Macaca mulatta: one gene and its partners. The protein of the gene in region 2 purifies or fractionates together with the protein of the main gene of each other region. This does not show direct contact. Links are inferred from orthologs where the notes say so. Each region holds a gene or a part of one and is shown on either strand. Other genes may lie near its edges.

What was found. Proteins that work in one complex are often made in the same cells at the same time.
Region 1: the proteins of VAPB (region 2) and PITPNM1 purify together in Homo sapiens (affinity purification with mass spectrometry; 5 studies listed by BioGRID and IntAct, counting the BioPlex papers as one, with this or other methods). This does not show direct contact. The link is inferred for Macaca mulatta from reciprocal best matches to the Homo sapiens genes VAPB and PITPNM1.
Region 3: the proteins of VAPB (region 2) and RAB3GAP1 purify together in Homo sapiens (affinity purification with mass spectrometry; 4 studies listed by BioGRID and IntAct, counting the BioPlex papers as one, with this or other methods). This does not show direct contact. The link is inferred for Macaca mulatta from reciprocal best matches to the Homo sapiens genes VAPB and RAB3GAP1.

What each region holds. Positions count from the first base shown.
Region 1 is NC_133419.1:6,873,893-6,882,102, forward strand, and holds the start of PITPNM1 (membrane-associated phosphatidylinositol transfer protein 1), read left to right. Parts: upstream 1-3,409; 5' UTR 3,410-3,585; intron 3,586-3,587; exon of another isoform or gene 3,588-3,988; intron 3,989-4,385; exon of another isoform or gene 4,386-4,562; 5' UTR 4,563-4,603; coding exon 4,604-4,681; intron 4,682-6,041; coding exon 6,042-6,256; intron 6,257-6,346; coding exon 6,347-6,468; exon of another isoform or gene 6,469-6,499; intron 6,500-6,610; exon of another isoform or gene 6,611-6,673; coding exon 6,674-6,898; intron 6,899-8,210. Other genes in the region: CDK2AP2 (cyclin-dependent kinase 2-associated protein 2), read left to right, coding at 980-1,186, 1,281-1,413, 1,767-1,834. UniProt on the Homo sapiens protein: Catalyzes the transfer of phosphatidylinositol (PI) between membranes. Binds PI, phosphatidylcholine (PC) and phosphatidic acid (PA) with the binding affinity order of PI > PA > PC. Regulates RHOA activity, and plays a role in cytoskeleton remodeling.
Region 2 is NC_133415.1:111,243,543-111,250,412, reverse strand, and holds the end of VAPB (vesicle-associated membrane protein-associated protein B/C), read right to left. Parts: intron 6,258-6,870; coding exon 6,081-6,257; intron 3,075-6,080; coding exon 2,916-3,074; 3' UTR 241-2,915; downstream 1-240. UniProt on the Homo sapiens protein: Endoplasmic reticulum (ER)-anchored protein that mediates the formation of contact sites between the ER and endosomes via interaction with FFAT motif-containing proteins such as STARD3 or WDR44.
Region 3 is NC_133417.1:26,678,856-26,686,806, reverse strand, and holds the start of RAB3GAP1 (rab3 GTPase-activating protein catalytic subunit), read right to left. Parts: upstream 4,802-7,951; 5' UTR 4,786-4,801; coding exon 4,768-4,785; intron 4,663-4,767; coding exon 4,607-4,662; intron 1-4,606. Other genes in the region: MAP3K19 (mitogen-activated protein kinase kinase kinase 19), read left to right, coding at 6,735-6,820. UniProt on the Homo sapiens protein: Catalytic subunit of the Rab3 GTPase-activating (Rab3GAP) complex composed of RAB3GAP1 and RAB3GAP2, which has GTPase-activating protein (GAP) activity towards various Rab3 subfamily members (RAB3A, RAB3B, RAB3C and RAB3D), RAB5A and RAB43, and guanine nucleotide exchange factor (GEF) activity towards RAB18.

The sequences.
Region 1 (8,210 bases), on a different chromosome or scaffold from region 2:
GGAACAAACGCAGGCCTCGGGCGGGCGCATGCGCAGATCGGGGAGAGGGTGTTGAACCGGTGAAAGGTGACGTAAAAGCGCACGGGGTGGGGCGCGGGGCTCGGGACGTCAAAGCCCTGCGTCCTTCGGCCCCCGGAGCAGAGAAGCGCGCACGGCAGCGGTGACAGCGGCCACGGCAGCGGCGACAGCAACCCCTGCTGGGCCGAAACTGGGCAGAGCGGAGCAGACGTCTGAAGCAGCGCTAGTGAGGCGCGAGGGTGGCGCCCGCGCCCGGGAAGACACCCTCGGCGCGAACCGGCGGCCCAGCCCCGGGTCCGGGTTCCCGAGGCCCCGCCTCTAGGGCCTGGGGACTAATCGGATTGAAAGCGCGCCGGCCCGGGCCGCGAACTCGCCAATTGCGGAGGGCGGTGGCCACCGCCCAATCCGGAGCAGACAGGTGCGAGGTCCGGAAGGCGGAGGCCAATCGGCGGCGGTTGCGACCTGCTGGGGCAGGTCTCGGCCAATAAGGAGGCTCGAGTGACATCTTCGCCCACCAATCGGGAGTGAGGGAGCATTCGTGCCCGCTCGCCCTTCCGGCCAGACCTCTATTTACCAGGGGCGTGCAGCCCGCTTGCCAATCAGAGCGCGGCTGAGCGGCCCGGCAGCCAACCCCCGAGGAGCGGCCGGCTGGCGTCCGCCGCGCCCAGGAGTTGGGGATGTCCTACAAACCCATCGCCCCTGCCCCCAGCAGCACCCCTGGCTCCAGCACCCCTGGGCCGGGCACCCCGGTCCCTACAGGTGAGGATCCAGCTCCACCCCTGCTCGCCTGCCGGGCGGTCGAGGTCTCGAAGAGAAGACGGCCTGAGTTCTGCAATACTGGGCTTGCCGCCTACCCTCGCTGAGCCTCAGTTTGCTGGCCTGTGAAGTGGGCGTGGTCACGTAAGGGCTTGTAGGTGGAGCGCAGTGGGAGGGATTTGTCCCTGAAGTTGATCAGCCTGGAATGAAGCATCCTTTGGAGGGAATCGGGCGAACCCGGTCCTGGGCTTGGAAAAGCTGGGAGGCGGCGTCCCTGCCCCGCGCTGACCTCTTACTCGCGCCTGTTGCTGCAGGAAGCGTCCCGTCGCCGTCGGGCTCAGTGCCAGGAGCCGCCGCTCCTTTTAGACCGCTGTTTAACGACTTTGGACCGCCTTCCATGGGCTACGTGCAGGTGAGTGGGGCCAAAGGCTTGCTTATGGATGGGGACTGGAGTCCCCCTCCCCGCCAGGTGCCTGAGCTCACTGCCCTGTTCTCTTTTGACATAGGCGATGAAGCCACCCGGCGCCCAGGGCTCCCAGAGCACCTACACGGACCTGCTGTCAGTCATAGAGGAGATGGGCAAAGAGATCCGGCCCACATATGCTGGCAGCAAGAGCGCCATGGAGCGCCTGAAGAGAGGTAAGTGAGGCCAGGCCGCCCTGCTTAGGAAACCGACACTGGACTATCTTCCATTAGGGAAAGAAAGACATCCGGAGGCCACCTGAGCCAAGCCTAGAGGAGGGCCAGTATTACTACCCAGAGAGGTGTTTTGAATCGAATTGAAATTGCGTCCATTTCCAGGGAAGAGCCTGGGAATTTGTACTTCTACAGGGCAACCTTGAGGATTAACCAAACCTCTAATCTCATCTAGCCGTCATTAGTTTGGAATTTCTCTTGCTGAAAGGGGAAAGGGAGTGGGGAGGCAGGGGTCCTCCTCTGGAGGGCAGTGGGTGGGGCTGTGGAGGGTTGCTGAGACCCCACCCCACCACCAGGTATCATCCATGCTCGGGCCCTAGTCAGAGAGTGCCTGGCAGAGACAGAGCGGAACGCCCGCACGTAACAGGAAGCGCCCCGGCCTCAGCGTCTGGACCTTTCCCGGCCACTGCAGAGCACCCGCTTCTCCCTGGCCTTCATCCCGAGTTGCACTAACCATCCTGGGCTTCCTGTCCTGTGTCCCTTGGTGGGTCCCCTCCAGGAACCAAGGAGCGGCTCTCCAGGTGGCAGCACTAAGGACATCCCCCCACAACAAGAGTTAGCAGCGAGGTCCCCATGAGTCCCACCCATGACCTGCCAACAGTGTTGCCCACCGGAACTTTCTGTGGTCCCCACCGCTCAGCCCTTCCCAGCCCTTCTCCCACTTTGTCCCGAGCCTCCTTCTCCCCCAGCAGGGGCTCAGGCCTGGCACCTCACTGCCTTGTGTCCTGAGCCATAGTGACTCTTTTATCTGTGTGTCTTTTGCTAAATATGCCCTTTTTATATTAATAAAAGATGATTTGGAGTTGTGCTCTCAGCTCTGAGCCTTTCTGGGTCTGGTTCTTCAGCTAAACCTGGGTGGGCCAGGCAGAGAAAGGGGAAGAGGAGACTAGGAGTGGGGAGGGTGTGACTAAACAGGGTTTGACTTGCCTCTGTGGGCCATCAGCCTCAGGTGGGAACCGGGCCCTCTCCGCCCCAGCCGTGGCGCTGAGAGCCCTGGGCCTTCCTGTGGTGCCACCAGGGGGCAGCACAGGGCCTGGCTGCTTCCACAGCCCTTGGCGCTATGGGCAGCCTGGGCCTGGAGGGCGCTTCCTCTGGATTGGCGGTGATGCCTGGCAGCATGGAAATGCCAGTTCACGTAAGCCACTCCCTCAAACGCCCTAATGCCCTGACAACACCCCAGCCTCTGAATCAGCCCTGAAGGTCTCTGACTCCTCAGAGAGAACGGGCACTGCTGCTTCCAGCCCTTGGCCTCACAGTCAAGGGGAGGGGCTGGCCGGGTGCTGCTGTCACTACCCCAGCACCTTGTAGCAGGCTGGGTGGGATCCCATGAGCCCAGCCTTGCGGTGCCTCATGAGGCCTTTGCCCAGACTCCGGGTGGCTGGGTGACCAGACTTGTGGACCCGGAAGGCAGAGGTGGGGGAGGCTTTGTGGCCCCATGCAGGGACTAGCCCAGCCACTCAGAGTGACAACCCGCTTCTGCCTGGGCGTGTAGCTGGGTGACCATAGAGGCCTGGGGCCCTGGAGCCCAGCCCTAGGTGGAGGCACGTCAGAGCCGCCAGCTTCTGGCTAGACTGGTGGGGAGGCATTTCCTCTACCCTGGGTCCCAAATCTAAGGACTGGGTGAGAAGAGGAGAGTGGGCCTGGGACCTCCTTTATCAAACTCCACCTTGTCACTGTACACAGGAGGGCTGGGCTAGGGTGGAGATAGGAACTAAGAGTCTTTGGGGACCCCAGTCAGCACTGAGGGACTAAGAAGTGCCAGAATTTAGGCAATGGCCTCTTTCCCACTGCCCGGGGGAAGGAAGGCAGGGGCCTGCCTCCCCGCCTCCTCCGCTGCAGGCGGGGCTGCCCGGACCCCGCCGGGGTGGGGAGGGCCAGCCGGGCCCAGGAAAGGGGCGGGGCGGCCGCAGTGACGCGGCGGGCTGCGGGGAGGGACGGCAGGGGCGCCGGCGGGCGGATCGAGAGGAAGGTCGGGGCCATGGGCCGGCACTGCGCCTCGGGAGGGTCCGGCCACCGCTGGAACCCAAGGCCGGGGCTGGGGGCGCTCCGGGCTCCGACCCACGGGCCGGCCGGCCCTGCCCGGGCTGGGTGAGGGGCGCCCGCCTCAAGCTAGAGGTGAGCCGGGACGTCGGCAGGCGGGCCGAGAGCGCGGCAGGGGACCGGGACGCCGGCGAGCAGAGGGAAGTGGGGACAACGGGGCCTCTCGCTTGCTCGCGGGGTGCGAGTGGGGGATGGAGGGGTGCCTGCAGCGGAACCTCGGTGCCAGTCTGGGGCGCAGGTGGGCGGAGCGGGTCTCCAGGGCCAGGGCCCGTGGGATACCAAGTGGAGCCACTCTGGCCTCAGCCTGAGGAGGGCTCACCCCCCCAGAAGAGGACGGGGTGGCTGCCTAGGCGCGTGGAGAGCCAGCGAGGGCCGGGGGTCCAGGAAGGATGCTGGGAGGGGGAGGTCGAGGACCCGGCTGCCCTGCATGGTGAAGAAGGCAGATCTGGAGGGCGGAGGGGATTCCTAGTCCCCGAAGGTAGGTTCTGGTGCAGGGCATGGGGAACCCTGGCAGAGATGCTGGGCGCACGGGGCCACTCGGCGCAGAGACACTCGGGGAACAAAGCTCTAGGTGGACGTCTGAGAGTGGGGGACCTGGGACCCCGCTGACTCCGGGAAAGGGATGCAGGGGGCGGGTCCCCAAGGGGCCGGTCGCGGAAGGCGGGCCCGGAAGGAGGGGCCCCGGGGCTTCGGAGGGCGCGCCCCCGAGAGATGCCGTTTCCCGGGGTTAGGACGCGGTCGCAGCGGGAGAGGCAAGGTGGCCCTCCCGCCCGCCGGCCGGAGCCTGGCGCTCCGGGGGGCCCGCGTCAGCACGCGGTTGCCATGGCGACGGGCGGGCGGGGGGCGGGGGCTGCGCGGAAAAGAGGTCAGCGCTCAGCCTAGCTGCTGTTCCGGGCCCCGGCAGCGCGGGCGGCGTCGCTGGGCTCGCCTCTGCTTCCCCCGCGGTGGGCCCGGGCATGGGGTCCCGTGGCCTGAGCACCTCGGCCGGCGCGCAGGGCTCGGGGCCGCGCGCAGCCTCCCCGCACTGACTGCCGCGCCGTGCCCTGCGCCAGGAGGAGCGGAGGCCGCGCGCGGCCCGCCAGGCGCCTTCAGGATGCTCATCAAGGAATACCACATTCTGCTGCCCATGAGCCTGGACGAGTACCAGGTGGCCCAGCTCTACATGATCCAGGTGAGGGCGGCAAGGAGAGGGCACCCGGGCAAGGGGTGGAGCCCCGCCAACCCCGCCAGCCCTGCCACGGGGCTGAGACGGGCTGGGAGCCCGGAGGAGGCAAGAGAGGCCCCCTTCGGATGTGGGGATGGGGAAGGGCTGTGGGGAGAGGGGCAGGAGAGCCGAGTGGTGCTTCTCACCCGCTAAGTGCCCAGCCCTTCTCTGATCTCCTGTAATCCTCCTCAGGATCTGTAATCCCATCGGGGAAGGAAAAAGCGCCCAGGAGGCGGCAAGAATGAGGAGGGGGGCCTCCGCGGCCGAGGAGGGCGGGAGGGGGTCTGGAGAGGTGCAGAGTCTTGGCCACCCCTGGAGCTCAGGGAGATGGGGTGAGGACCAGGCGCCAAACCTGGAGCAGGGACAGGGCAGCATGGATCGGAGGGCGAGGGGGCTCTCGGGTAGGGCAGTGAGAAGAGTTGGCCAGGGCAGGCCCTCAGCAGTGGCCGGGTTGGTGCAGGGCCCCGGGGAGTCTGCTCCAGATCTCTCCCCAGCACAGCAGGACCAGAGTCTCATAAAGCAAGAGGGCCTGGACCCTGCCTCGGGGTTGAAAGGGCCATCTGAGCCCCAGAGCGATAGAAGGCAGGATCTGGGGGCTCTCAAGCTGTGAGGGGTGTGGCAGGAGCTGGGATTGGGAGGTGGCCTGGGCCTCCCAGAGAGGGAGGGGGCCAGGGTCCCCTTTTCCTCTCTTTGTCCCTTCTTCCTTGCCAGCCACCCTGGCCTCCTTGCCACCCGCCAGCACATCCAGTACGCTCCCACCTCAGGGCTGCACTGGCTTCCCCCTGCCTTGAGCACCTCCTCCCACCTCACCTCCTTAAAGTCATGTTCAAGCCATGGTCACTTTATGTTCTTAGCAAGGCCTTCCCTGACTATCAGATCAAAACTGCTGCCCCCAACCCTGATCACCTGTACCCTACTGTAGGCTTTCTTTTCCCATAACACTTAGCGCCTTCTAACACACCATATAATTTGCTTTTTCCTTTTGTCTGTCTTCTTCCACTAGAATGTAAGCTCCATGAGGACAGGTGTCTTTGTTCTATTCATCAATATATCTCAATTGATAGAATCCCAAACACTGCCTGGGGTGGAGCAGACACTCAATGAATACTTGAATGACTGAATTGAGTGCTGGGTTGCAGACCCCATGCAGGGCTGGGCTGCATCTGATTCCGATCCCAGGGAGCTTCGGTGGGGCAGTGTCTGGTTTCAGGGAGTTGAAAAGACTGGGACCAGGGCCCCAGAACTGCGCAGAACACCAGCCTAAGCTGGGGATCCCAGATGCTAAGCTGGGGCTGAGCTCCCTATTCTGCTCTCCCTTGGGCCACAGAAAAAGAGCCGGGAGGAGTCTAGTGGTGAGGGCAGCGGCGTGGAGATCCTGGCCAACCGGCCCTACACAGATGGGCCCGGGGGCAGCGGGCAGTACACACACAAGGTGTACCACGTGGGCTCCCACATCCCAGGCTGGTTCCGGGCACTGCTGCCCAAGGCTGCCCTGCAGGTAGAAGAGGAATCCTGGAATGCCTACCCCTACACCCGAACCCGGTGAGTGGGTGAAGTGGGCGTGGTCCGGGGCCAGGAGGGAAGCAGCCCTGGTGGGTACGGCAGTGAGCCTCACCCATGCCTTCTGCCCAGGTACACCTGCCCTTTTGTGGAGAAATTCTCCATTGAAATTGAGACCTATTACTTGCCTGATGGGGGGCAGCAGCCAAACGTCTTCAACCTGAGTGGGGCCGAGAGGAGACAGCGCATCCTGGGTGAGGCCTGGAGCTATGGAGGGACCCTGGCGCCCCTCTCAGTCTCCTGGCTGCCTCAGTGGGCAGCCTCTGAGAAGTCCCAGCCCTCTCCAAGCCTCATGTCCTATCTGCAAAAGGACAGGAACTGTCACCCAGTCCCAAGAGGGTGCCAGGAGCGGGGGCTCAAAGGGGCTGGCACTGCTCAATGCTTGCTGAACTCCCTCAGACACCATTGACATCGTGCGGGATGCAGTGGCTCCAGGCGAGTACAAAGCAGAAGAGGACCCCCGGCTGTACCGCTCGGTCAAGACGGGCCGAGGGCCACTGGCTGATGACTGGGCGCGGACGGCGGCGCAAACGGGGCCCCTTATGTGTGCCTATAAGCTGTGCAAGGTTGAGTTCCGCTACTGGGGCATGCAAGCCAAGATCGAGCAGTTCATCCACGATGTAGGTGAGCACCCAGCCGCGGGAGGTCCTGCTTACCCAGCATGCCCATGTTTAGGGCCAGGGATGCTCCCATCCACTGGGGACACAGAAGCAGAAAGCCATCATTTCCAGTTGAGGCGGGGAGCACTAGGGCAGAGGTGGCCGCACAGCCTAGCCAGGCATCCACAGAGCAGGAAGCTGGTAATATGAGCTACAAGGTCCATGCTGACTCTGACTTTCAGAAATGCTGCTGCTTCCATTAAGATTCTAAGATTCTCCATCATCCTATGAGCTGGGTGAGACTTAGAGATGCTCAGGAAGGTCACCTGCTCTAACTGGCAGCATGCTAAGGAGTGCAGGCTGAGGCTGTGACTCTGATGTCATTCTCTCTGGGATTCCCCCCCTCCACTCCCAGTTTCTAGTGTTCCAGCCTTTGGCCCTAGTGTTCAGGAGCCCCAGTTCCACACCTCCCCTCAACCTGACTCCACCACGCCTGCAGCTCAGCCCTGCCTCAGTGCCCAGGTCATCTGCACACAGAGGGATGATCCCTAGTTGGGGAGACCAGCGGCCTGGCTTCTGTCCCACTACTGACCCATGGTTCCTCCAGCAAGGCGCTGGCCATCTCTGCACTTTAAATGTCTCTTCAGTAAATTAGGAGGAGGTTGAGTCAGATATGAAGAGCTAATACTGACAGTGAGAGCAACACACAGACCCTTTGCTAATTACTTTCTGTGCAAGATCTCCCTTAACACCCACAACACCCCACCAGGTAATGACGATGATTATTCCCATTTTACAGGTGAGGAAATTCAGCTTATAGAATAATGAGGACTCCGTATCTTGCATTTGGAAAAATACCAAAAAGCACAAATAAGAAAATTAAAATCACCCACATATAGCCACTACTAAGATTCTGATATATCTCCTCACAGAAGTTTATAATTATCATTCAGCCATCATTACCTTATTTCCTAGATATTTAAGAGTTTCTAACTTTATTCTTCTGCTTAAGATAAAAATATCCCAGAATGGGTATCATCTTTCGCCACAACTGTCATTGAGTGCCAACACTTCCATTAACTATTAACACCTTCATTAACCATCAACAATTTCATTAACTGTTAGACACTTAATTAACTGTTAATTCCTCAGAAGTCAGCAGGAAGCCAGCCAAAAGCAAGAACAAGCATCGGTCCCTGCTTCCGGGGTGATGGGGCGGGGACGGTGCTGAGAGTTAGGGTGTGCGGAGAGACAGGAAGGGCAGTGGGCGGAGGGGAGTCAGGCAGGAAGACAAATGCCCCACTTTCCACTCCCATTCCTGGACTGCACTGGCCCTG
Region 2 (6,870 bases):
GCACTATGACTGGCATTTCCGAAGCCAAGGCTGCCCTCTCTGAGGTGCCGTGGAGCCAGTAACACAGGAGCAGATTGGAGGGCAGTCTGGCAGCAGCTCCCCCATGCACACTGCCCGGCAGCACCCTCCTCAGCCTCGCTCTTTCCATGCCAGTTTCATCCCGATTATCCGACTCTTAACCTCTTGGGGCAGGGCAGGCCGTTGTGACAGGCCCCATATTCACCTCCTCTTTGCCTTACTCTTGTTTTCATTATGTAATTCTAGGAAAGACACCCTAAATGTGCATGCATGTCCAAGTTCTCCAGGAGCCATGCCTGCTCCACGTTCTTTCTTTTCCCGGCACATTTTTGGCTGCCAGGATGACTGATAAAATAACCAACCTTCCCATCACTCACCTGCTTCTCTTCCTGAGGATTTTCCTTCTGCCACTCAGCCAAAAACCCCACAAACGTGTTCACCAAGTGCTAACCTCTAGAAGGGAGAGAGACTTCAGAGGCTGATTTTTAGCTGCAACCAAAATGTCCACATCCTCTGAGAAGCTGAACACCTTCTCCTAGATGTACACAAAACTCTAAATCACATTCAAAGGTCTAAAACAGAGTAGTTTCTCAATATTCTTTTTAAGAACTGCCACAGACTCACAGGCCAAATCCCATGACCTGGCTGTTTTTGTGAATAAAGTTTTATCAAAACACACGGCCATATCCTTTAAAAACAAATAGAGCCCTGCTCTAGTGTAATGGGACTGTACTGTACCCCTACGTATGTTGGGGACCATCTAAGCACTCTCCATGAGGGCAAGGACATGAGGGCCTGGAAGCTACAGAAGGACTTAACTGGCTGCAGCACCTACAATTAGCAAATTTTAGTCTCCTCACGGAAAATCAGGCGGCAGAAGGCATGTGCCTTACAGTTCGGTCTTTTCACTTCCTTTTATAAGCACTGGGGGCCACATGGGAAAAAACCTGGAGACAAATTCATATTGGGGTGACCTCCCTGTCTGCACACTCAACGCAATCCATGGGTGCCTGGGTAACAACTAAGTCTGCTCACCATTTCTGTGAGTACCTGGGATTCAAAGTCAACTTTTTTCATGAAGACAGGAAGTTCCTTACTCACCAACCACAGACTTCCACTTCTCCTGTTTCAAGGCACCTGACCCAGCTTAACACAGCCAGGCTTAGGAGCAATGTGGCTTGACGTATGTGACTTCTAAGGACTGCCTTCCTTCTGATGAACTTGTCCTCTCAAACCTGTGCACAGTGGGACTGTGCCCAGAACGCCTGTTACTAGTCTCAATGGCATGGTTCCCTGACCTAGAAGCGAGGCTGCTTTTTACTGAAGGCCAAAGCAATGGAAGGCCAAGGGTGACCAGGTGCTCAGCTTTTTCAGCAGTTTTATTTTTCATACTGTCAGCTGAAGACAACCAAAAAAAAAAATATATATATATATACACACACACACACACGTACATTTAAATCATGAAACACATATTTCCCAGTGATAGAGCTCATTTTAAAGTCAACCTTCCAATGGCAAAATAATAAAAATGATAAAATAATTCCCCCCATAAAGCAAATGTGACAAAATGACAAAAGAATTCTTAATTTTGGGGCTTTATTATAATTTTTCTTTTCAAGATGCTACATAGTCAAACAGAACTGGATTGGTCTTTTATGGCATAAAATTAATTCACAGTCAAACTCTCAACTAGTACTAGAAGGATTAGCTGAAGAGTCTCTCTCTCCCACTGCTCCCCACCCCCAACTGCTGGTGCCCTCGATTCTAACCTTCTGCACCCCGATCCATTCGTCCTGACTCCAAGCTAGGTCCCCAAGGAGAGGTTAGGCTCAGACTTGGGCCTGGGTGCTAGAAGTATGAGTAATGGTTGAGAGGTGGTATAAGAACAATCTAGAATACTGACTACTCTTCATTAAAAAAGGTAACCTAGAGTTGACTGTCACTACAGAGAATTTCCCTCCCTATGACAGTTGTTATTTACTGACCCAGAAAAACACTTCCTGACAGCTCTTCTCCAACATTCCAATAAACCCCACCTCCACATGACCAGACTCTCCAGAGACAGAGGAGCCCACAGACCTCCAGCAGCAATACCAGTTCACCCACCAGAGTTTGGCAGCACACAGCATTAACTGTACTCTTGTGACAATAAGAAAACATGAGATGAAATACATTAAATAAGTTAAATATGCATTAAACATCTCTGAATAACAGTTCAACTTCACTACATGAACCAATAAAAATTTAGCTTGGTCCCTTTAAGAGAACAAAGCACTGCCATTTATTTCCAAAGCGCTGGGTCAATCAGTCAACACACGCCTCTCACTTATGACGAGTACGTCTGATGCTGCCACAGTGCAATTCCTTTGGGCTTCTGACTCTGTTCATCAGTCCCAAGGAGCTGATGGCTTGGACAGAACTGAAGACATGGAAAGCAGCCTGGGCCGGGAGTGGGCCATGTGGGGACTACTGTGTGGAGATGACCTCACTCCCCACCACGCTGGGCTCCAGCTCCCCACGGGCCAGCACCAACAGGCGAGGAAGAGTGTCATTTTAAGAGAGGTAATCCAGCATCATGTACCAAGGCCTACCAATGTTTAAAATGACATTTACAATATGCCATTGTGACATTACTCATGGTTTCCCTTGTCATTAATAAAGATCATTCTTCCCCCCACAATCAGTTACTATACATTTTTAACTTTCTAAAAGATTGTTACATTATATTTGTGTGTGTGTATCTGTGTATGTGTGTGCAGGGAGGGGTAATTTAAAGGCAAGACCTGTGAGATGTCATCATACATTAATTTCTTTTTACACATGGTTATGATAAATTTAAATCCCATGATATGGTGGATCCATCAATCCAATTTACCATCCTGTGCATGCTACCTCTACAAGGCAATCTTCCCAATAATTACACCAACAATAAAGAACAAAACCACCAGAGCCAAGAGCCGGGTGCTAAGGCCTTCTTCCTTCCCAGTTGGGGCTAGCGCTGAAATGGGGCTGTTGCTCTGCACTGTCTTCCTCATCCGCAGTCCATCTTCTTCCTATGGGAGCAAATGCACATTTCAAAGACAAGCCAAGGCACCAGAAAGGGGAGTCAACCGTACAGCTTAACAGGATGGGCTGTTCATGCCCAGTGTTGGCCGACATGATATGGTCCAACCTCATTTTGCAAATGGAGAAACTGCAGGCTACAGAGGGGAAAGGGCTAGCCTGAAGCCACAGAGAAAACAGTCCCCTCTTTTCTTTCATACATTCCACTTGATGCTGCTAGTTATAACAGAAATCTAAACAGGGTGCTCCTTGGTTTCCCATGATTTACAGAAAAAAGTTCTTAAAAGGGTCAACTGGGCCCTTTGCACCCTCAGCCCCACCCACCTTTACGGCCATGTCTTTCAGATGCTTCTCTTCAACCCCAACCTCTCTGTCCTTCCTGCCTCTAATGAATAGCCTTCCTTGATCAAATCATCAATTTTTTAAATGAGAGGCATTTCCCAAGACATAAATATACAAATCATAAGAAACTACAAAGTCAACTGGACACGGTGGCTCATGCCTGTAATCCCCACACTTTGGGAGGCTGAGGCGGGTGGATCACCTGAGCTCAGGAGTTCGAGACCACCTTCGTCAACATGATGAAACCTCATCTCTACTAAAAATACAAAAGTTAGCCTGAGGTGACAGAGTGAGACTCCATATCAAAAAAAAAATCTAAAAGTGGGACATCTGGAAGCTTTCAAATGCAGAGCTCTGTACATAGCTGGTACCTGATGAACTACATCCAGACTGCTGGATCAAATGATATTTGGAATATTAAAATGTGACTGGCCTTGGTACACTCATCTCAAATATTTTCTACTTAATGCATAGATTTCTCATTGAAGAAGCAACATTCTTTTTCACACATATAAAGATGTCTGACCGTATCCCCCACCCTCCCCTTGTCCCCAAACTACATGGATATGTAAGAAATGAAAATTTTTTTCTTCCTTCACCTCCACTGCCACAACTGCCTTGCACTTTCCTAAGAATCTGCAAGTTACCATGTAGATCTATGATGCCATTTCCATGCTCTCAAAGCCAAGCCCACATCCCTGAAGAGGGACATGCATCAAGCCATTCTATTCTGGCCCAGACTCATCTTTGCTGAAAGATCTCTTGATAATTACCTCATCTACTCATCCCCAAACCCCACACACCAGCTGTACTTTCTTTTCTTCGTTTCCTTCCATTCTCTCCCATCCACCCGAGTACCTAGTAGGTCCTGGAGACCACAGGCAGATGAATCCCACGGAGCTGACTCTTCCTGCAATTTGTTGCTATCTCTGTGGGACATTTATCACACTGGCTTATAATAATTTCTGTGTATGTCTCTCCCTGCTATCCCATTAACAGAGAGCTCCTCAAGGGCAGGGACTGTTTGTGTTTGAATCCACAGTGCCAGGCACATATTAGACCCTCATTTGTTGGCCAGATGACAGAATAAACCAACACAAAACAAGAAGGCAGCGTCTGGCAGGATAAAGAATCTTCTAATGTCGAGATTAGTCTGATCATATTTTAAGGATATTCTGCTCATGGGGCATGGCAATATCACTGCACAGTGATAAACAAGGTGGTGTCCAACTGACTTAAAAAAAACCAGCTAACTACACCATTTATTTTATTGGGTTATATAGAAGCTATTTCTACCTATTTACCACTTTAAACAGCACAGAACTCTGTTTCAGAAGAGAAATACACTCGAGGAGAAGCTTCAGGCATAGCTTAGATTGTTAGCCAAAACGTAGTGTCGGCTTCACAATTTACTTACACGTTAAAGAAGTTACTGACTGAGGCAAATCAAGATCACTGCAAAGGAAGAAGATGATGCCATTTCCCAAATGTTGTCAGTTCTCCTGTATCTACCTCATTGTCAAGAGTAAAAGAGAAGAAAACTCATACTTTTAAAGCTGGAAGGGGCCTTAGAGGTGTTTAGCAAACAGAGGCCTAAAAGATGCTGTGACCAGCACAGATTCAGAGCTGTTTCATATTGGATGGGAGCAACTTCCACACCACCACAAGCCTCCCAGCCAAAAGAAACACCCTCTGACTCCCCCCTTCACCACTCAGTACAATACAACCTTCCATTGCCAATGCCAACTGCCTCGTCCACGAGCTAGAGGCTCAGGTTTTCTTTCCATAATCTCCACCTCCTAACGACTGTGAGGCACCCCACCTCCAAGCTCATCACCACATCAACAGTTTGAGGAGCCAAAACTGCCCAGACCTATTTAGAGTCTTCTAAAATCAGAACTATACCTGCATTGAATCAGAGTATTGGTCAGTACTTACCCTCTGAAAAAAAGATTCTCACCCAAGTGAATGGGGATGGCGTGGGGTTTAAAAACGCATATTCAAAATAAAAACTGCTATTTTGGTCTCAACATTTATTTTCAATTTACACTAATGGAAAGTGTGAATTTTGGGGGGTTTTGTTTGTTTGTTTTGTTTTTGAGATGGAGTCTAGATCTGTCACCCAGGCTGGAGTGCAGTGGCGCAATCTCAGCTCACTGTAACTTGCGCCTCCTGGGTTCAAGTGATTCTCCTGCCTCACAGTCTCCTGAGTGGCTGGGATTACAGGCGCCCACCACCACACCCAACTAATTTTTTTTTTAATTTTTTATTAGACACGGGGTTTCACTGTGTTGGCCCGGCTGGTCTCCAACGCTTGACCTTGTGATCGGCCTGCCTTGGCCTCCCAAAGTGCTGGGATTACAGGCGTGAGCCACCGTGCCCGGCCGAGGTTTTTCTTTTTTTTCCAAGGGGACAACAGCTTAAACAGTAGAGAAACTTCTGATCAAGGGACAGTGGTTCTTAATTTACACAGATCCAAGGACCCTTTTGAGAATCTGATGAAAGCCATGGAAATTTCTCCCTGGGGAGAAAAAAACAGCCAAATACCAAAAGCAAAAGAAATCTATACATTCACTGGCTCATCAACTTCCCCACCCAAGAAGCTAGTGAAAATGCCCTTGTTCTCTGTAGATTACCAGAAAATAAACTATTACCTTGAACTGCTTGTTCTCCTCCCGTAGCCTCTGAACTTCACCTTGCAGCCTCTTACATTCTTCCATAACCTTCTTAACTTCAGTGTCATCCAAAGAAGAACTCAGAGACTTAGACACTATTGGTGTTTCTGTCTTTGATGCAGTTGTGGATATAATTTTATTTATTTCTACATCATGCTGTTCAAAAACAAATGAAAGCCTAAGTGTCACCAACCATGTAATAAAGGACTTTTTTATGCAAAGTAAAGTAGTTCTCAGCAAACACCAAACGTGGTAGCATTTCATCCACACTGTAAAATGTCACATTTATTTTTGAAATGGATCATTTTATTTGGTATCTTAATAATCTAAAGCAACTGGGCCCTAGAAATTATGGATAAGGGTAAATAATGAAGTTTAGCTGAGACTAATACTTCAGAGAAAGAGAAAAAGGGCTGTGTATATTGCACTATCAAATTCCTGCCATGCAAAAATTAGCATACTGTAATTGTGCAAGCTCAGGAATTATTAGCCACAAATTACTGTCACCACAAAGATGTGAACATCCCTAGGATTGTCTTGGTGGAGTAGGAAGCTTGGAAGAGTAGTAGACAGAGGGCGAATTATTTTACCAACTTAGCATTTGGAAGCTGGGATGAAAGTGTAACAAGCTCAGGGTCTGCAATGTTTCAATCTTCGGAAGTTATAAACTCCCCTCATTTCCCCTGCCAAGATTGAGCTATGATCCCCTCTTGAGATTTACTGGGGATGACAGCCAGTCAGTGGAGGGAGGGCATGGAAACACGCAGCT
Region 3 (7,951 bases), on a different chromosome or scaffold from region 2:
CACTGCACTCCAGCCTGGGCGACAGAGCGAGATTCCATCTCAAAAATAAATAAATAAAATTATGAAACCAATAATCTCTCTCCTACCCAAAATAACTGACCTACTTAAATAAACTTTTCCTTTAAATATATTAGGAATTCCCTGATTTACTCCCCCCACCCCAACAAAAAAAGAAAGTATTATTTGGGAACTTGGTTCATGAAACTAAAACAAGTTTTAATGGACAGCTGACAAGAAATTACAAGTAAATATGTCAATTTTAAGGATAACTGACAGATCTTAAAACTATTCACTAATCTTTAAATCCAATGATCAAGAAGGCCTATTAAAAAGAGAACTGAATTTTGACTAGCAACATGTTCAACATCACTAAATGAAAACTGTCAAGTCTCAGTCAAAGACACATTCAGAAGACTTGTTATTACTCTAAGTTGACTTCTTATATAAGCTAAGTATGATGCAATCTAACAGCAACATTGCTCCCTAAACACCTAGGAAGTACTACTAGAGTACTAGAGTTAATTTTAGTCAAACTGTATGAAAAGGCAACAGACTTTTTTCTTCAGTGACATTATGAACTAATATTTATGTTTTAAGGTAGTAATAATAAATCTATGATTCATCTGAGGCTTCTTAGTAAATCCTCTTTAAAATTAAATGCAGTATCAATTCATACACTAATTCATGGCAGGGGGTCAGTCATGACAATTAGTAGGTTTGAAAATGAGTGCTCTAGAAACAAGTTTACATGTTTACCAAAAAGAAAAAATTTAAATATATCCATAGGCAAGCAAAAATTTGCATGAAATGTATACTATATTTATGAAAGTAAAAAAACTGGAAGTTACCTCAATGCCCAACTGCAGCAAACCCTTGTAAATTAATGGTATGTTCATCCTCTCCGAGGACTAATATGCACCCATTAAAAATCATGTCAGTCAAAAGAAAATACACAAAGGCCAGGCACAGTGACTCACGCCTGTAATCCCAGCACTGTGGGAGGCCAAGGCAGGTGGATCACAAGGTCAGGAGTTCAAGACCAGTTTGTTCAAGACGGTGAAACCCCATCTCTACTAAAAATACAACAAAAATTAGCTGGGCACAGTGGCACGATCCCAGCTACTCAGAAGGCTGATGCAAGAGAACTGGTTGAACCCAGGTGGCACAGGTTGCAGTGAGCCAAAATTGTGCCACTGCACCCCAGCCTGGGCGATAGAGTGAGACTCTGTCTCAAAAAAAAAAAAAAAAGAAAAGAAAAGAAATATTAATATTTGATCCAAATAACACAGGTTAAAAGGAAATACGTCCAAAAATTAACAGTAGTTATTTCCTGTGGTAAGTTTACAGGTGATTTTTATATTTTATTCTACTATAAGGCATTATTGTTACAGTTATAGAAGAAATGTTTTTTGTTTTTTTTTTTTTTTGAGACAGTGTCTGAACTCTGTCACCTAGGCTGGAATGCAGTGGTGTAATCACGGCTCACTGCAGTCTTGTCCTCCAGGACTCAAGCAATCCTTCTATCTCAGCCTCCTGGCTAGCTGGGACTACAGGTGCACATCACCACACCCAGCTAGCTTTTGTATTTTTAGTAGAGACAAGGTTTCAGCATGCTGCTCCAGCTCCTCTTGAACTCCTCAGCTCAAGTGATCCGCCTGCCTCAGCCTCCCTAAGTGCTGGGATCAGGCATGAGCCACTATGCGCGGCCAGGAATGTCTTAAAATACTTATTATAAGAATAATGAATTCTATCAGTACTAGCTAAGAGACTTGGACTTTATCCTACAAGTATTGAGATTTGACTAGAAAAACTAAGTAATTTTTCCCTTAAAAGCTCTCAGGAAATGAAGGGTCATTTCCTGATTCCTTATTCTATATTAGGTCCCTTTGTTATAGGTTCTTATAAGACCAGGTTTCCTTCCCTTTCTAGCTCTTACATAAACTCATAATTACACACTTGTATTACTTGATTTGTGTCTGTAATGCACTAGACTGTACATTTAGTAAGAGCAGAAACCGTACCTGTTTTACTAACCACCACATCCCTAAATCCCTAATATGCACTGTGCTTGACACATGGGGATTCAATAAATATTATGTCAATGAACAAACGATAAAAAGAGTTATGGGCTTCTATACAGTTCTCTCAATAAATGATCTACATAGTTCATAACATATTGTATTAATAAGATCTTTCATTTAAAATTAAACTCAAGGTTTGAGACTTCAAAGTCTTAACATTTTTTCTCATGCATTGTAAAATGCACACTACAAACAGTATAAAAGCCAAAAACAGAATTTTCTACTTTGCAATAGTTCTTATAACTACATTAATAATTATTTCCATATGCAAAGCTAAAGGACTTAATATTCCACTTCAGGATATTTTTAACTAAGGGAAAGTGATCATTTTTCCATTCAAAACTCTGATGTTTGCCTACCCCCACCCTCCAAGATTTGAATTACATTTTTCTAACTACCTTCAAGACATCAAATTATTTCAAAATCAACAGGTTCAAAACAGGTTCAAATCTTCTCACTTTGACACTTCCTTATCTTCATTCTTTCAGGCAAAAAACTGCAGTTCACATTTGATTTTTCCCACTCTTAACGTATCATCAAGCTTATTACCTAAATCTTCTCTGAAATATGTTACAATCCTCCCTTCTAGGCTCCCTTTGTATTCCAGTCCACAAATCACCATCCTAATTACGAATCAAGTTAAGTCTCCTGCCATTATTCTACACCATGTCCTAAAACCACTCTCATCATATCACCTGGCCACTCTAAAATCAAGGGTCTCTCACTATTGTCTTAACCAGTGGTTCTTTCTAAGTGCAGTCTCCTGACCAGCAGCATCTGAATTCCCTGAGACCGTGTTACAGAAGCAAAATTTTTAGTCCCACCTCAGACCTACAGAATCAGAAACTCTGAGAATGGTGTCCAGCAATCTATGACTCTGATGTAAAGTATGAGAATCACTGGTCATAGGAATACTGAATCTGAATTCCTGCATTTAGTTTGGGAAGATGTCCATAACCCAATCCCATCTTCCTCATTAACCTTACTTATTTCCCTTCAATAGACAGTCTTCACTCTAGTAAAGATACAAGTCCCTTCAAAGGTTCATTCTCACCTGTGTCTCTGCCCATGTCAGTCCATTCTCATGTTTAACCAACCACTTCCCACTTTCAAGGCCCAGCTCATTTCCTATGTTTTCTATGAAAATATCTCCAACTATTGTAGCCCACAATATCACCCCTATTTAAATAATAATTATTTTAATTATTATTTTTATAGGTAGTATAAATTGGCTTACATTTTAACTATTTGCTGTTTGTTGTTTTTTAAAAATATATGGGTCAAGTTTCTGCTTTTCCCTTTGTAGATAGCTCTGGACACCCAGTACCTGCTCAGTGAAATCTTGCCAGTGTGGTTATGTCTTACTGATAATTTTATGAAGGGTACCACAGGTCTATTATTCCAATAAGGACCACCTAATGACACAACATCCACAAATTTCCTCTCCCAACCAGAAAGATTATAAAATGTTATAACAGCGTAAACACTGACTTCGACACCCAGAAAACTGAAGGCTTTCTGTGACACTCAACAGAAACCTTCTCGATCTAAGCTATCACTCCTCCATAAACTTGGCTTTCAACTAATTTCAGTGATAGAACAGTTTCACCCAGACAGCTGTTCATCTGAGTTTGATAAGCACAGGAAGCCTGGACACAGTACCCACTGAAATGTAACAACTTAAATCAAAGCATTCCAAAGCCATATGCAGACTTTTTTAAAAGGTTATTCTAAAAGACAGGATAGGCCAGGCGCGGAGGCTCACGCCTGTAATCTCAACATTATGGGCGGCCGAGGCTTGAGTCCAGGAGTTCAAGACTAGCCTGGGCAACACAACGAGATCTTTAAAAAATTAGTTTGGCGTGATGGCGCGTGCCTGTGGCCCCAGCTCCTCCTGAGGCTAAAGCGGGAGCGTCACCTGAGCCTAGGAGTTCGAGGCCGCAGTGAGCTATGACCTCGCCACTGCACTCCAGCCTGGGCGACAGACTGAGACTCTGTCTCCAAAAATAAATAAAAATAAAAAATTAAAGACAGCATGGAGATGGTGGGAGTGTGACAGACGGACAACCACCAATACTCTGAAGAAAGACTTCCTCCTGAAAAGGGTATACCAACGTATACGGGATGGGGTGGGGGACGCACCTGCCAAGTTTACTGCTTACGATAATGAGTTAAACGGTAATGAAAACCGGAACGGGTGTTGCAGCCTCGGAAATTGTTCTTGCGAGTGGGTAACAACCAGAAAACCAAAGTCTAAGGAAAGCGGTCTGACGGTAGAGAAAACAAAACTTTGGGAGAGCCTGAGCCTCAAGGATTGGCTGACGGGGGCGGGCCGCGTCTTCCCAGACGCGAGACGCGGAAGAGGCTTGCGGTTGACCAGAGAAGAGAGGAGGAGGGGACCCGGGACCCATGGTATTACCGTTCCCGCAGAAGTGGCGTCACTTGTGGTGTGTCTGGGGTCAGGGAAGCGGCTAGGGGACTCCAGGGCCCATGGGAGCTGGCAAGCAAAAATGCGATTCACTCACCTTTCCCATTCCGAGGCAGTGGTGAAGTCCGTAATCTCAAATACCTCGGATTCGGGCTGCGGGAAGGGGAATAAAAGAAAATGAAATTAAGCCCCAAGGAGACGACATGGAGGAACGAATTTAGATAGTGACTAGGATTAAGTAGGGAGCAAAGAAATCACCTCACTGTCAGCAGCCATCTTGAGGAGCGCCGGGCCGGGCGCTAAGCCTGCCGGGAAGAAGAGCGAAAGAGATGGGGAAGCTAGATGGTGAGTTGCCGTGGGCGGGGTCTGGGCGGGGCTCCTGGCGGCCCCGCCCCCTGACTCCCCGCCCCCTGTTCCTGAGTCGCCCTGGTAAGTAGGAGTGCTGCTTCTTCGTCTGAGTCTGGAAGACTTTAGTCCGCCCTCAACTGGTTAATAAAACTCCGCTGTAGCTGGTTTAATAAAACTTGAAAATTTCCTGTAATGAATACAGAAAGGGAACAGAAGCAAGGTGGTAGGACAAGACCTTAAACTCATGTGGATAAGATTGGATTAAAAGACCTAAAGCCTGTTGGGTTTGTTTTCATTCAACCACTATTTGTAGTTAGTACCAGTTGGCTTACATTGTAACGATTGGGTTTGTTTTCATTCAACCTCTATTTATTGATTGCAGCGCACTAAGCTAGGTGCTGTAATACTCACCACTTCTACCCTGCGCCCCCTGACCCTGTAAGAACTTGCCTAGTTGATTGTCCCGAAATAAAATCATACTTGTTACCTGGTTTCTGGGAAGAGCAACATGCTGTTCAACAAACGCTTCATTTTTTAAGTTGTTGAAGAACAGAAGGGGTGTCAGCTAGCAGTTATGAATTCTCTTCCTGAAATATTTACAAATGAAATGCTGCCACATCTGGGGTTTGCCTCAAAGTAATGGGAAGGAGAAAAGAGTAAGGCTAGGAATGAAATAAAAGTTATGAGTGGATAATTGTTTAAACCAGTGATATACTATTTCCTCTACTTTTGTTTAGGTTTGAATGTTTACATAATTAAAAGTTTTTAAAAATTTAATCTCATTTAATGAGTTTTGCAACCCACAGAGGGAATTTGGAGGTGGGGAACTGGGAGATACAGCCTCAGTGATAAAAATTATTATTGGCTGGGCGTGGTGGCTCACACCTGTCATCCCAGAACTTAGAGAGGCCAAGGCAGATGGATCGGTAGGTCAAGAGATCAAGGCCATCCTGGCCAACATGGGGAAACCCCATCTCTGCTAAAAATACAAAAATTAGCTGGGCATGGTGGCACACGCCTGTAGTCCCAACTACTCAGGAGGCTGAGGCAGGAGAATCACTTGAACCTGGGAGGCGGAGGTTGCAGTGAGCTGGAATCGCACCCTTGCACTCCAGCCTGGTGACAGAGCAAGACTCCATCTCAAAAAAAAAATTATTATTATTATTTATTAATTTATTTATTTTTTTGAGATGGAGTCTCACTCTGTTGCCCAGGCCGAAGTGCAGGGGACAATCTCTGCTCACTACAACCTACGCCTCCCAGGCTCAAGTGATCCTCCCTCCTCAGCCTGCCGAGTAGCTGAGACCACAGGCTCAAGCCACCATGCCTGGCTAGTATTTTGTATTTTTGGTAGAGACAGGGTTTCACCATGCTACCCAGGCTGGTCTTGAACTCCTGAGCTCAAGTGCTCACCCGCCTCAGCCTCCCAAAGTGCTGGGATTATAGGTGTGAGTCACCGCACCCAGCCAAAAATTATTAATCTTAAAATAAGAATGAAAGATATCATTCTTTTTTAGTGATGTAGATAGACCAGATGAGGAAACTAAACATTAGAAGAATTTTGACAACAGGTTGTTACTGCTAGTGCCAAGCCTTGAACTCCTGTCTCTTGATGATCCTTGTGGTTTCTATCCACTACACTAGTGAGGAAGTATGGGTTACTACTGTAGCAATCTTTCCCAAAACATCTCAACTTGCACCTTCATTCACTTACAGGCATTCATTAAACACCCACTACAAGCCAATCACTATGTTAGGCTCCAGGGATATGAAAATGTATTGTAGGTACAGAGTTTGACTTCAAAGAACTCAGGGTCTTGTAGAAGAACTGGAACTTTGCTGCATGAGCAGAGAGAAGAGGTGCCACATATGTCAACATGGCTATTAGCAATGTGGAGGCCAGTGGTAACCTTGACAAGAAGAATCTTGGAGGAGAGCTGAAGGATAAGATAGAGGCAAGCGAGTTAGGGGTGGGGAAGGCTTCTAAGCAGAGGAAATAACTTATCCAGAGGCTCAAAGGTAGAAAAGTCTGATTCATCTAATGAACTGAAGGAGTGTCTTGCACCTAGAACACAGTGTTTGTGATAGAGTTGAAGAGATTGGCATGAGCCATATCACATAGGGCCCTCTACACCAGGGTTGGACTTTATTTTAAGTACACTGGAAATCACTGAAGTGTTTTAAGCAAAAGAGCAATGTAATCCAGTTCACATTTTGCAAATGTCTGGATGCTACACGAAGAATACATGGGAGGGGGCAAAAGAAGAAGAAAGAATAGCTGGAGACTATTAAAACATCCAGTGAGAGAGGGTGGAGAATCTTTGACTAGAGTAGTCAACAGGCAAAGTGAACTAATTTGATATGTATTTTGGAGGTAGGTCAGACAAGACTTGTTACTGTATTGAATTCAGGGATAAGGAAAAGGTAAGAATCAAGGATAATTTTCAGATATCTGGCCTAAGCAACTGTGTGAGGATGGTGCCATTTCCTGAGATGGGGAAAAGTGGAAGGAGCAAGAAAACAAGAGTTGAATTTGGCAGATGTTAAGTTTGACAAGTTTGTCAGATAGTTTAGGGGAGATGTCAAGGAGAAAATTGAGTGTAGGAATAGGACTCAGAGGCAGGACCTGGGGTTGAGATGGTATTTTAAATCACAAGTCTAGGTGAGGTGATTCCAGAAAAGAATATAGAAAGAGAAGAAGTGGCACCTCATATAAAGTCCTGAAGAAATTCTATATTTAGAGAATAGATAGAGGAAAAATATCTAGCAAAGGGAGAGAAAGAATAGAAGTGGCTAGAGAAATAGAAGGCAAACAAAGAAAGAGTGATGGTGTAGAACCCAAGGGAGAAAACTACTTCAAAAGGTAAATATGGACCGCTGCTGAAAAAGCAAGTAAGAGAGGAACGTAGTCTAGGATGATTGGTTGTTTTTTTTGTTTGTTTTGTTTTGTTTTTGTTTTGTGTGTGTGTGTGGGTTTTTGTTTGTTTGCCTTTAGAGCAGAGTATAGCAGACCTGTTGGTATGGTGGTGGAAATACTCTAGGAGAGAGAGAGATTGATGGCCAAGAGGAAATGGGAGAGCTGAAGGAAAAATTC